Linked DNA regions of Sus scrofa. The protein of the gene in region 3 binds, or shares a complex with, the protein of the main gene of each other region. Links are inferred from orthologs where the notes say so. Each region holds a gene or a part of one and is shown on either strand. Other genes may lie near its edges.

Evidence for each region.
Region 1: the proteins of NAA35 (region 3) and NAA38 are in contact, whole or in part, in a cryo-EM structure (PDB 7MX2), measured with the Homo sapiens proteins. The link is inferred for Sus scrofa from reciprocal best matches to the Homo sapiens genes NAA35 and NAA38. Residues at the interface, in NP_001308810.1 of Homo sapiens: Val30, Asp31, Ile32, Thr33, Phe36, Ala39, Cys40, Leu43, Leu45, Glu47, Leu48, Leu49, His50, Asp51, Phe54, Glu58, Ala59, Ala62, Ile63, Glu64, Met65, Met66, Ala72, Gly73, Met74, Gln306, Arg307, Leu309, Pro310, Pro311; in NP_001307854.1 of Homo sapiens: Ala41, Arg42, Leu45, Glu46, Leu48, Leu49, Arg61, Phe67, Leu68, Cys69, Thr70, Asp71, Arg72, Cys74, Ile77, Arg97, Val98, Leu99, Gly100, Leu101, Ala102, Met103, Val104, Pro105, His108, Ser111, Ile112, Glu113, Val114.
Region 2: the proteins of NAA35 (region 3) and NAA30 are in contact, whole or in part, in a cryo-EM structure (PDB 7MX2), measured with the Homo sapiens proteins. The link is inferred for Sus scrofa from reciprocal best matches to the Homo sapiens genes NAA35 and NAA30. Residues at the interface, in NP_001308810.1 of Homo sapiens: Leu45, Gly46, Leu48, Leu56, Ala59, Met60, Ala62, Glu64, Lys69, Glu121, Phe313, Pro314, Arg315, Ala444, Leu510, Glu511, Leu512, Glu517, Pro605, Lys606, Phe607, Glu608, Leu609, Asp610, Val614, Arg615, His618, Arg619; in NP_001011713.2 of Homo sapiens: Glu221, Pro238, Ser240, Tyr242, Thr243, Arg245, Tyr246, His249, Asn250, Lys304, Ile324, Glu334, Asn335, Leu336, Gly337, Val339, Arg340, Asp341, Lys342, Arg343, Phe345, Arg346, Tyr347, Tyr348, Leu349, Leu359, Trp360, Leu361, Arg362.

The regions. Positions count from the first base shown.
Region 1 is NC_010454.4:53,110,733-53,113,733, reverse strand, and holds NAA38 (N-alpha-acetyltransferase 38, NatC auxiliary subunit), read left to right. Parts: upstream 1-1,486; 5' UTR 1,487-1,710; coding exon of another isoform or gene 1,711-1,750; coding exon 1,751-2,165; intron 2,166-2,325; coding exon 2,326-2,438; 3' UTR 2,439-2,485; downstream 2,486-3,001.
Region 2 is NC_010443.5:186,528,455-186,532,590, forward strand, and holds the start of NAA30 (N-alpha-acetyltransferase 30), read left to right. Parts: upstream 1-1,334; 5' UTR 1,335-1,801; intron 1,802-2,065; 5' UTR 2,066-2,066; coding exon 2,067-2,831; intron 2,832-4,136. UniProt on the Homo sapiens protein: Catalytic subunit of the N-terminal acetyltransferase C (NatC) complex. Catalyzes acetylation of the N-terminal methionine residues of peptides beginning with Met-Leu-Ala and Met-Leu-Gly.
Region 3 is NC_010452.4:29,319,905-29,324,158, forward strand, and holds the start of NAA35 (N-alpha-acetyltransferase 35, NatC auxiliary subunit), read right to left. Parts: upstream 2,806-4,254; 5' UTR 2,643-2,805; exon of another isoform or gene 2,512-2,642; intron 1,816-2,511; 5' UTR 1,811-1,815; coding exon 1,687-1,810; intron 1-1,686. UniProt on the Homo sapiens protein: Auxillary component of the N-terminal acetyltransferase C (NatC) complex which catalyzes acetylation of N-terminal methionine residues. N-terminal acetylation protects proteins from ubiquitination and degradation by the N-end rule pathway.

The DNA.
Region 1 (3,001 bases), on a different chromosome or scaffold from region 3:
TGGCCCCCAAATCCTACCAGCCTTTAGGGCAGCCACTTCTAATAAACAGTTGGCCCTAAAGTCACTGCCCCCTCACCTCATCTCCACAATAGAGCAGGCTAATAAGAGAGTCCACCTGCAACTGCTGTTCAAAATTCAACATGAACTTGGGAGGACCAAACTACGACGCCCAAACTACCCTGGACTTCTGAGGGAGTCTCTCACACCTTGTGGCTCAGCCACTCCTCGAATTGCTAACCCCGGGGACCTACATGGTCGTCTTCTTCCCTTGGTCACCCGTAAAAGCGGAAAAAAAATACAGCTGCCACTAGTTACGGAGAGCTGCTGGCCTGCAGATCTGCGAGGAGGTTTGCTGGGACTCCCAGTTCCTTCTCACCTGCCCCCAGGCACCAGTTCTCACCTCCAGCGTGTGTTCCTGCGACGTGAGCGTGTTAATGATGCGGATAGTCCGGGTCTTGGCGGACAGCCGCCCCACCTCGTAACGCGACCCCTGCCACCAAGGCTTCCCGAAATCATTGGCCCAGTCCGAACGCGGCAGCTGAGGTGGCACGTGCAGAAAGCGGCCCCAGGGGGTGCGGTATCTCAGGCAACCGGTCAGCGGATCTATGTGCTTGCGGATCTTTAAAGTAGGGTTTGGCGGAGGGGGGTCTGAGCAGTCACTATCTCGGGCTCCGGTCAGCCCCTCCGCCTCGTCCCCGCTCTACAGTGCCCCTCCCCCCAACCCCAGGTTCCAGCAGAACTCACGTCTCCGGTGTCTGGGTCGAACCAGTGGCTGATGTCCTGGCCCGCAACTTCCACGATGGGTTTCAGCAGCAGGTCTCCTGGGAAGGGGCATTCGTGTCAGTGCTAGACACCCAAGAACCAAGCACCCCCAAACGCACGCCCGACGCCGGCCCAAAAGTGCAGCCCTTACCCTTGTACTCCTGTGCCAACGGCGTCAGGTCGTACACGTTTCCCAGGTAAGACACCCAGAGGTCTTCCAGCTGGTTGTGTTGGGCCACCTCGGCCGGCGTGAAATAGCGACGCTGGAAATACTCAAAGTCTGGCCCGGCCACTAGGCCCCGGCGCAGCATGGCTCTCGCCCTCTCACCGGCTCCTTCAGTTGCGCTCTTGCTTTTCAGCGCGCACTCACTACCGCATCCTCCCTCTCGTCCGGGAACTAAGGAGAGGGCGTTTATCCGCTGACATGGAAACCATTGTCCTTTTCCGGCCACCGTCTGTCAAGATCAGACGCTGTGAGGGCGAGGTGGGGCTCACGGGAAACGTGGTCCGATTCCGACGTTGAAGTAATTGAGTGGTGTCCTCCGGAGTTCCGGGGGGAGGAAAAGACCCTCCGTTTTAATTTTGAGTGGCCTGGGCTATAGGGAGTGCTTGGGACGTACTATCTCGCGAGGCAGAAAAACAAGGGAGTGGGGAGTGCGATTAAGAAAAAAGGTATTCTCGCTTCCTTCCAGGGTTCCTAAAGGATATGTAAGAACCGAGAGAGGTGAAAACTTCTCGCGATATCTGAGGACATCCGGCGACCTAGACCTCAGCGAGCCGTTCGCCGAAGCAGGAGACGCTCGCGAGATCTCTGCAGTTGCCGAGGAGACGAGGAGGGGAGGTGATCTCGCGAAAGAAAACAGGTCGGGAGCGCTCGCGAGATCTCAGACCCCCCGGAGCCGAAAGGTTCTCAGCAAGTTGAAGGGCCTGGAGGAGGCCCGCGGACAAATGGCCGGAGCTGGACCAACTATGCTGCTACGAGAGGAGAATGGCTGTTGCAGCCGGCGTCAAAGCAGCTCCAGCGCCGGGGTTAGCGCGGGCTCGGGTTCTGGGATTGAGGGGCCGTCGGGGAGTAAAGTGGGAGGACGGAGGGAGAACTGCAGCTCCCGGCAGCCTCTGGGCTTCCTGCGAGCGCCCCGCGGGCTGTTGGGAGCTGTGGTTCCTCGGGCGGGCAGCAGCCGGGGCGGTGCGGTCTGAGCACATGTCCCGCCCCGCGCAGGACTCAGACGGGGAGCGCGAAGACTCGCCGTCTGCGCGCGCTAGGCAGCAGCTGGAGGCGCTGCTCAACAAGACTATGCGGATTCGCATGACAGATGGACGGACACTGGTCGGTTGCTTCCTCTGCACCGACCGCGACTGCAATGTTATCCTAGGCTCGGCGCAGGAGTTCCTCAAGCCGTCGGGTCAGTGCCTGGGGAATGCATACCCGCCTGGGAATGCCTCGGAGCATTTCCCCTTCAGGGCCTGGCTGTATCCCTCATTTTCGGGGGCCAGAAGCTGTAGCTCAGAAGGGGCGGGACCGACGCTGGCCTGCCTCCCTGATGCTCTGATCCTTCTTTCCAGATTCCTTCTCTGCCGGGGAACCCCGTGTGCTGGGCCTAGCTATGGTACCTGGACACCACATCGTTTCTATTGAGGTGCAAAGAGAGAGCCTGGCGGGGCCTCCCTATCTCTGAGCCCGACCGCGCATGCCTTTCAAACTTCATTAAACCTGTCACTGACATGGCCTGTGTCTGTGTGTGGTTGGGATGCGGGGGGCAAGGATTGCACACCTCCCCCCTAGAGGAAGAAGAGGTTTATCTGAGGTCGGGGGCACTCTCAGCGCTCCTTCCACGTCTAGTGCTGCCAGAGGTGCCCTTATGGTTCGGGGGTGGGGATGGGGGACAGGCTGAGCCTTAGACCCACAGGCCCCAGGGTGGGCCCCATCTTCCCTCCCACGCTGCTGGTCCGGGAGGGGGTGGTGTCATCCTGCTCCGGAAGGCCCATTGTTTCCCTCCCCGGCCTGGCAACACCGAGTTCCTCTAAGCTGGGGTCAGAGAACAGGCTCAGATCCCCAAGGGGAGCAGGACAGGCGACACAGGCTGGGCCTCCTCCACTCTCTTGATGGGGAGGTGACTTTGGGGTCAGGGACAAGGGCTCTGGGGTCTGGACAGGAAGGACGGGCTAGTGCGATAAGGGAAGGCCGGGAGGCCGAAGGATGCTCCCTTCTGCACGCTAGAGCCACACATCCCTCATCCTA
Region 2 (4,136 bases), on a different chromosome or scaffold from region 3:
CTCCAGCCAGTATCAACTACCAAGGAAGAGTGAAAAGTTTTCAGATGATTCCAATCCCCACAGTTGAGGCTCTGTGCATAATGGAGCAGAGAAAGTCATCCCTGTTGTACCCTGTGTGAATTCTTGACCCACAGAATCTGTGAGCATGGTTGTTTTATACCACATGTTGTGGGGGTTATTTGCAGCCATACTAAGGTGAAAAGTACCAATGTATATTTATTTCAATCTCTTAAACAATAGCGTAATTAATAATATTTTATAGTATTTGTGTATCATAAAATCATCCCTGTATTGATAGATCCTTAGGTGCTTTGGAATTATTTATTCCTACTACACACAAGGCTGAAATAAATAAGCTTCTACATGTCTATCTATGCACACATGTATTTCTACAAAAACCTACAAATGAGTTTTTATAAAAACCTATACATGAGTACATGTAAGATATTTAGGACAGTGTCTGGCACATAGTAACACATTTTATTATTACCATTTTTATCACTATAGTTTGACCTTCCAGATAGAGGATTATAGTTTTTCCTTAACATCTTCAGTGACAAGGACCCTAACAGTTGTACCTAACAGCAATGCTACAATCTATCTTATTTTTTAGTTTGGATTATGGCAAAAGTTGCGAATACTCAAGAGAATTGTATCCCTGAAAACATCTACCTGCTGCACACCTGCCTAGCTCTACAGTTTAAAAAACTTAATTTGCTCCGTGAGCTGGTGAGTTACACTACCTGCATTCCTCTTCAAACAGATGGGCTGAAAACCGTCCGCTGGGGATTAGAGCGGAAAGAGTGGAGCCTGGCGCTCAGCGCGTGCAGCAGTTCTCTTCCCTTTGCATCCACTCGCTCCGGCCGACCACTTGGCAGAGGGCAAGGAGGAGGTTCAGGACACCTCTTGACCGGTGCTTTTCACCTTATCACAATTCGGGTCACGTTTAGGAATGTGCCTCTTAGCTATTATCACTCTCTTTCACCATCTGTAACTCTGCCCCAGGTATGCTTGCAGCTGCCCAGCACCTGTTAATTCCATTTACCGCCAGTTTTCCTCGGCGGGGTGAAGGGGATAAGGAGAGAGGCAGCTTCTTCTGCCTCGAAGTGGTAAAGCCTAAACTTAATTCACACAGCATACCACCAGGTTTCAACAGCTATTCCCATGTTTTCACAGTGCAAATATTTTAACTTCTCCTTTTCAAGGATTTTTCTCTCCTGATTTGCTCCATTTTTAAGGGACTCGGGTAACCTGCCCCCTGACCCCAGTCAGGGCAAAGGTTAAAACGTCATACAGCTGCGGAAAAGCATTTCTAGATTTGCCCAAGCCCGGGGGAGCAGGCCCCGAGCTGGCGGTCTACGCCGCAGCTCCTTGGAACGCGTGTCCCGTCCAGCCCTCTTCGGCCCGGGGCTGCAAGGTCCACGGGCTGAGGAGCCCCAAAGCCGAGGACTGTGCGTTCAGAGCTAGCTACTCCACAGCCTTCTCTAACTTCCCCACCCCACAGCCCCACCCATTAGCACGCGGTCTCCCCGGAGGCCCGCAGGAGACACCACCGTCCCCGCCCCTCCACAGGTCATCTCCTTCCACGCCCCTTTCCCTCGGCCCTGGCAGCCGGCAGGCAGGGAAGTGTCGTAAAGCCAGGCCCAGGAAACTTTACCCGGGGTAACAGCCGAGGCGCTTTACGGCGACGGCGGTAGAGTGTGAGCCTTGGTGGCGGAGGAGGCGGCCGCGGCGGCGAGGGAGGCGGCGGCGGCTGAGGAGGAAGAGGAGTGGCGGCAGTGGCGGCGGGGACCTGTGCGGGGTGAGCTGCGCGGAGGGGACGGGGAGAGGCCGCGGTGACAGGCCCGGCGGATGGGCGCGGGCGGACCAGGACGGTGGCCGGCTGAGCTACTGGGCGGCGCTGAAGAGCTGGGGGGGGCGCGCGAAATTGGGGGGCCAGCCCTGTGAGGGACGGTTTCTGCCTTTGTTTCCCCCCAACCCCCGGCGCCCCCGCCCCTCGCCCCCTCTGCTCCGCGCTAGTCGGCTGGGTCTCATGGCCTTCTCTCTCTGTCTGTGTCGCCTCTAGGATGGCGGAGGTACCGCCTGGGCCTAGCAGCCTCCTCCCACCACCAGCACCTCCGGCCTCGGCGGCGGCCGAGCCCCGCTGTCCCTTCCCGGCGGGGGCCGCCCTCGCCTGCTGCAGCGAGGACGAGGAGGACGACGAGGAGCACGAAGGCGGCGGCAGGAGCCCGGCGGGCAGCGAGGCGACGGCTGCGACCAAGGGGCGTCCGTGCCTCCGCTGCCCTCAGCCGCCGCAGGAGCAGCTGCAGCTCAACGGATTGATCAACCCCGAACTGCGGCACCTACGGGCGGCCACCTCTCTCAAGACCAAGGTTTTGAGTGCGGCCGAGGCGGCCACGATCACGGCCACCCCCGACGGGGGTCCCAGAGTGACTGCAACAAAAGGAGCCGGGGTACACTCGGGCGAGGGCCCCCCTCATTGCCTCCCCAATAATGCGAGAACTGCGCTCCCCAGCCCGGCAGAGGCAGCGGCGGCGGCGAGCGATCCCGCGGCGGCCCGCAATGGACTGGCGGAGGGCACCGAGCAGGAGGAGGAGGAGGACGAGCAGGTGCGGCTGCTGTCTTCATCCCTGACCGCCGGCTGCAGTATAAGAAGCCCCTCAGGCAGGGAGGTTGAGCCTGGGGAGGATCGGACGATACGTTATGTCCGATATGAATCCGAGCTACAAATGCCCGATATCATGAGACTGATCACCAAAGATCTGTCTGAACCCTACTCCATTTATACCTATAGATATTTTATTCACAACTGGCCACAGCTGTGCTTCTTGGTAAGTGGATGGAATGAAAAAAGGGTGAACCCAGCAGAGAGATCCAGGCCGTACAGGGCAGGGAGTGTGAGGGCTGGAGTGGCAGTGGATGTGAACTGCCTTTCCTAGTACCTTACATGATGTAAAGTGCGTGTACACACTGCTAGTTATTTAATGAAACTGTTTTGAAGGTAAGACTTCAGGATCCGGGTTAACTTGATATTGATGTAAATGCAACCAGCCTGTATGATGTATGTTGGGGGTCTTTGTATCCTGTTTGCATTAGCTTATAATCATGTTTGACTGTCTTTAATTATCCTCCCTCATACTCAAAGCACTTTGCAATCATTTAATTTGAACACGGTTCTTTTCGGATACAGGCCTTATTAATCTCTCAATTACAGCCATAATCAGGGAAGAGTGTATGTATGCATAAACATGTTTTGGTGAATTTGATTGTCAGTAAACTTTCTGTGGCCACATTGGAGAATTAAATCTTACAAACATATTCCATAATTATGGAGATTGTTTCCTTTTACTTTAACAGGACAGTTAATTTAGTTGTAGACAGCCCCTTTCTGGTGCACAACTTCAGAAGGTGCTACTAACACTTCTGATGGCTGAAAGACTCTTGAAACTTGAACGGAATACCCATTTGGGGAGTGTAGGAAACATGTGAAATTGTTTCTAATCTAATTTTTTTTAAGAAGCAAATCAGAGATATGCCTAAATACTAGTAATAGTACTAGCTTGTGTGAAATATAACTGACAGAAATTTTTTACTTATATATGGTAGAAAAGACTTGGCTACCAAACAAGCTGAATAATTTTTTTTTTTTTAACTTTTGTAGTACTGATAGTACCAATAACTTCCCAGTAATATTGACCCATTTCAGTCTGTATGAAACCTTTCACTTAAATATTGACAGCAGGTATGTGCTTTGTATGTTGTACTTACAAGCGTGTCATTTCCATTGAATTTTATCAAGGAGAGGCCACATGGTTTTAAGGAGTATTTTATTATGTGTGAAGGGAAAAGCCACTACCATTATTTATTGTTTTAAAATTGACTTACCTGCATTTATTAATGCCCTGCAAGATGCTTTAACAGTACTTTAGAAATCTGTCTTTTTGATTCTTCAGGTTGGTGGTAATCTGAAAATATAACTTCAGTATTTTAGATTATGATGGTTCTGCTAGTTTCTGTGTTCACTTTGCTAAATTTCAATTTAGTATGTTTGTTTAAACTGGGAACTATTTTATATTCTACAAAACTGCTCTTACAGGATTCTAACCATTTCATCAAAATAGAAAACCTAAGACATG
Region 3 (4,254 bases):
ATAAATACTTCATAAAACTTTTCCCATTCAGGTTTATACTGACAGCCCTCTAATACTGATCATTTAAAATCAGTGCAAGATGACAGGTGTGCTCCACTTAACAGTTTAAGAACACTAACTTTCACTTCTTTCTCACTCCTTCAGACAGACATACGTGGGCAGTCACCCAACTCCCAGTCTAATGTTTTTTCCACTATCTCACTCAGGCATCCTTTAACTGGACATGTATTTCAAAACAGTTGAAGGGTGAGCACATGATTTATCACTCTGCGTATACTCAGCTGGCTCCCTTTCCACCTGCAGCTGCTCTAAGTCTTTATTCCTCTCCTTAAGAGCACTATTCTAAACACACTCCAACATCACAAAAAGTCTAATCCTCTTGTTCACTAACAGAAGCCATCAAGGTATGAATCCCTCCACCCTTCCTCCTCACCCACTTAGAAATATACCTGTATCATCACCATCCTAACCTCCGTTCCCCCTCACTATGTTCCGACTTTTTTCCCTCAGGTTAATTTCTCTACCTTGTTCCTGATTCCATCCTCTCTTAAAGTTCCAGCCCTCACTCTATCATTTGTTCCTTTCTCTTATCTTTATTCTTGCCGAGACGCTTTCCCCTCAAACAACAAACATGCTCACTTCGCCAATCATTTATGCCCAAGCATTTGAACTTGACTATGTGCCAGGCAATGTGCTATGCACCAGGATTATTGACAGGATCTCTGCATTCACAGAGCTCATATTTCAGTGGGTAAAGGTGACAATAAACAATAGTTGAAAATGGTTTCCAACAGTGGATAAGTGCTATGAAGAAAATAAAACAGGGTGATTCAACTGAGGTGGAGTTGAATAAAAAAGAATGAGGGAGTTCCCATTGTGGCTCAGCAGCTTATGAACCCGACTAGTATCCATGAGGACGTCAGTCTGATCCCTGGCCCCACTCAGTGAGCTGTGCTATAGGTTGCAGACGTGGCTCAGATCTGGCGTAGGCCAGCAGCTGTAGCACTTGATTCGACCCCCAGCCTGGGCACTGCCACATGCCGCAGGTGCAGCCCATGAATCTGCTTTGATTGGTTGTTTTCTGAAAATCTCACTGTGAAGCTAACATTTAAGTGGTCAAGAAGAAGCCTGTGATGTGAACACCTGGGGAACCGACCCTGATGTGTTTATTAAGGATCTTGGGACCAACGTAATGAGCCCAGTGGAGCAGTGGTACAAAAAACAGTCTGAGCTGTTGGCAGGCACCAGATCATATTGGCCACAGGGAAGAAGTTTAAATTTTATTCTACATACAGCAGGAAGCCAACGGAAGATCTTAAGCTGGGAAATGATGTGATGTGACCATTTTCAAACCTCAAATATACACAAACACTATTGTCTTTGGGGCAACAGAATTCCTATTTCCGCAGTTTGAAATTATTGCTATGTACTCTCAAACTTATTAAAGTTAGAACATGTTAACAGAAGAAACTGCCTCAATGTCTGTATTTCATGATATATATAAACTGGCTTCAAACAAAAGTTAAAATCAGAAAATAGAGAATGAGTGTGGTTAACAAGCTCAATAAACCGCACTTACCTGTTGATTTTCTTTTTCATTTACTGCTACAGTTTAGAAATCACAATCCACATTTCATTGCACCCTTTCTCAAATTTTGAACTTCTATTTCAAAACTTCAAACTCACCTCGACAAGCTTCTTCAAAATCTTGGGTTATGTCCACCCAGTTCGTATTGCTTTTTTCCATCTTTTCTGGTGTACTGAGCTCCCATCCTGAATCATCATCTTCTACAGAAGCTTTCATAACCATTATGCCTATAAAATTAATACTGGTGTAAAAGAGAGGATGTAGCTTTCAGGACAAGGGTACTGGCAAACCATGTGTGTCTGTTTAAGTACTGGATGAAAGTCTTACTAAACTGTCTGGGCAGAGCTCTTTTGAGTTTGTGGACGGTACTGTAAAAAATTACCTTAATGCAATTAAATTTCACGTTAATTAACACTACTGGTCCACCATCTACGAGGGCTCATAAACAAGTTTGCCTATTTCATAAGAAAAATCACAAACCATCCCAGCACTGGCCCAAAGAGAACCAACTCCACTGTTTCCAACTTTCAACGCTGGCCACAAATAACCAAGGCACTCTTCAAGGTCCCCTCTCGCAGCCCAAGACCCCATGCGGCAACCACTCAAGTCAAGGGGGTCCCTCCCCTACCGGAGCTTGCTGGATCAACCTCTCTCCGCTCGGCAGGACCCCAGCATGGCCTGTCCGGGGGGCACCGCACAAGGGAGCGCACCACGGGGTCCCAGCCATCGGGCTTAGGGCGGAGGTGCACCTGAAGCGGGGACCCGGCTCACCCGGGTCAGCCCGGCCCGGTCCCAAAGGCACGGAAGCAAGGACAGAGCTGCCGTCGCGCGGGAGGACGGGCATGCCCGGTGCCAGGTCGTCGCCCGGTAACACTGTGTAAGGCCGGGCCCTCGGCGGACACTGGGGAGCCCGTAGCTCCTACCTGAAGCGCGGCGGGAGGGCCGGGGCCGCAGGGTGACCTGGAGTCCCCCGGGTCTGCCACACGCGCGAGGGGCTGCGGCTGTCGGACACGGGTAGGAGGAAGTCTCAAGGGCTCCGCACGGTGGTTCCTACCTACTTCTCCCGTGGCCACTCGCGCCGCCACACAGTCCGAACCGCGGAAATAAAGACGCCGCCTCGGCTACTGCCGCCGCCGCCGCCGCCGCCGCCCCCTCCCCTCTCAGCCCAGCCCGACCATCCGCGTGCGCGCATGCGTACGCCCAGTGCGCGCGACCCCGCCTCCTCTCCCTCACGCCAGGGGACTTCGCGCTCCCGGCCACACCCCCTTCCTAGCCACTGCCGTCATTCGGCCGTTGGAGGCCATCTTCTCTTCTCGCGAGATTAGAGGCAATCGCAAGACCGGAAGCTATCTTCCTCCTCCAGCCTTGGGCAGCGACCTGGTTAGTGGGTGGGTCCCAGTAAGGGGCGGAGCCTGGGGACCCAGAGCCCGCCCCGCCTCGTCCCGCGCAGCTCCCTGGGAAATTCTTAGAAAGGTGAAGAGAATCAGGAGGAAGGAGTGGAAGTAGGTGTGGACCCTTGATGTTGGGGCTGTGAATGAAGAGCTCAGCTCTGAAAGCTCCGTCGAGTTGGTTTTGCCTGACACTTGATTTATGTTTCCTAGAGAATCTGGGGAGTTCATGAGGAAGAATGGAAACAAAATATCAGCAGAATCAAGTCATTTTCTTTTAGACCCATTACATGGTTTAAAGCTTTCCTAAAATTAGTAAAATGATCATTTTTAAAGTGCAATTAAATAAGTAGACTACTACGGGTAGGAAACAAAATGCATCTTTACCACCACGTTGCCAATAAAATGGCTAAAGTTTAAGAGATGATACCCAATGTTGAGGACACAGAACAGTTGGAGCTCCAATTTGCTGGAGCTGGAACTCAGATGTTGCTGATGGGGAATGCAAAAGGATACAACCTCTTTGATAAACAGTTCATCTTTTACTATAAAATTAATCATGCACTTACAAGACCAAGCCATTGGTCCACACAAAAACTTGTACATTAATTTTTGTAGCTTTAAAGACCAAAAACTGGCAACAACCTTAATGAGCAGATAAACAACTTGTGGCATATCCATACGATGATGTGTAATTATTCATATAATGAATAGTAGTTATTGACAAACAGGGATGAGTACTTGACATGCAAAAATATGAATCTCAAAAAAATTCTGAGCAAAGGAAATCATTATGGGAGTTCCTGTTGTGGCTCAGGAGGTTAAGAACCTGACTAGTTTCTATGAGGATGTGGGTTCGATTGCTAGCCTCACTCAGTGGGTTAAGGAACCGGTGTTGCCATGAGCTGTGGTGTATGTTGCAGACATCACTCGGATCCTGCATTGCTGTGGCTGTGGTATAGGATGGTAGCTGCAGCTCCAAATTTGACCCCTAGCCCGGGAACTTCCTTGTGCTGCAGGTTCTGCCCTAAAGAGGGAAAAAAAAAAATCAGTATGAGCAAAAGACTAGACTATAATTTTATATGTAATTTTTAAAAAGACAAATTTAATCTGTAATGACAGAAAACAGAGCAGTGACTGCCAGAGCGGGAGGAGGTGTGAGGCAGGATTAATTGGAATATGGCTAAGTGATTGGAAGGGATGGAAATGTTCAAATCTTGATCATGGTAGTGGTTATATGGCTAAATTCATTTGTAAAAGTTCAGTGAAGTACACACA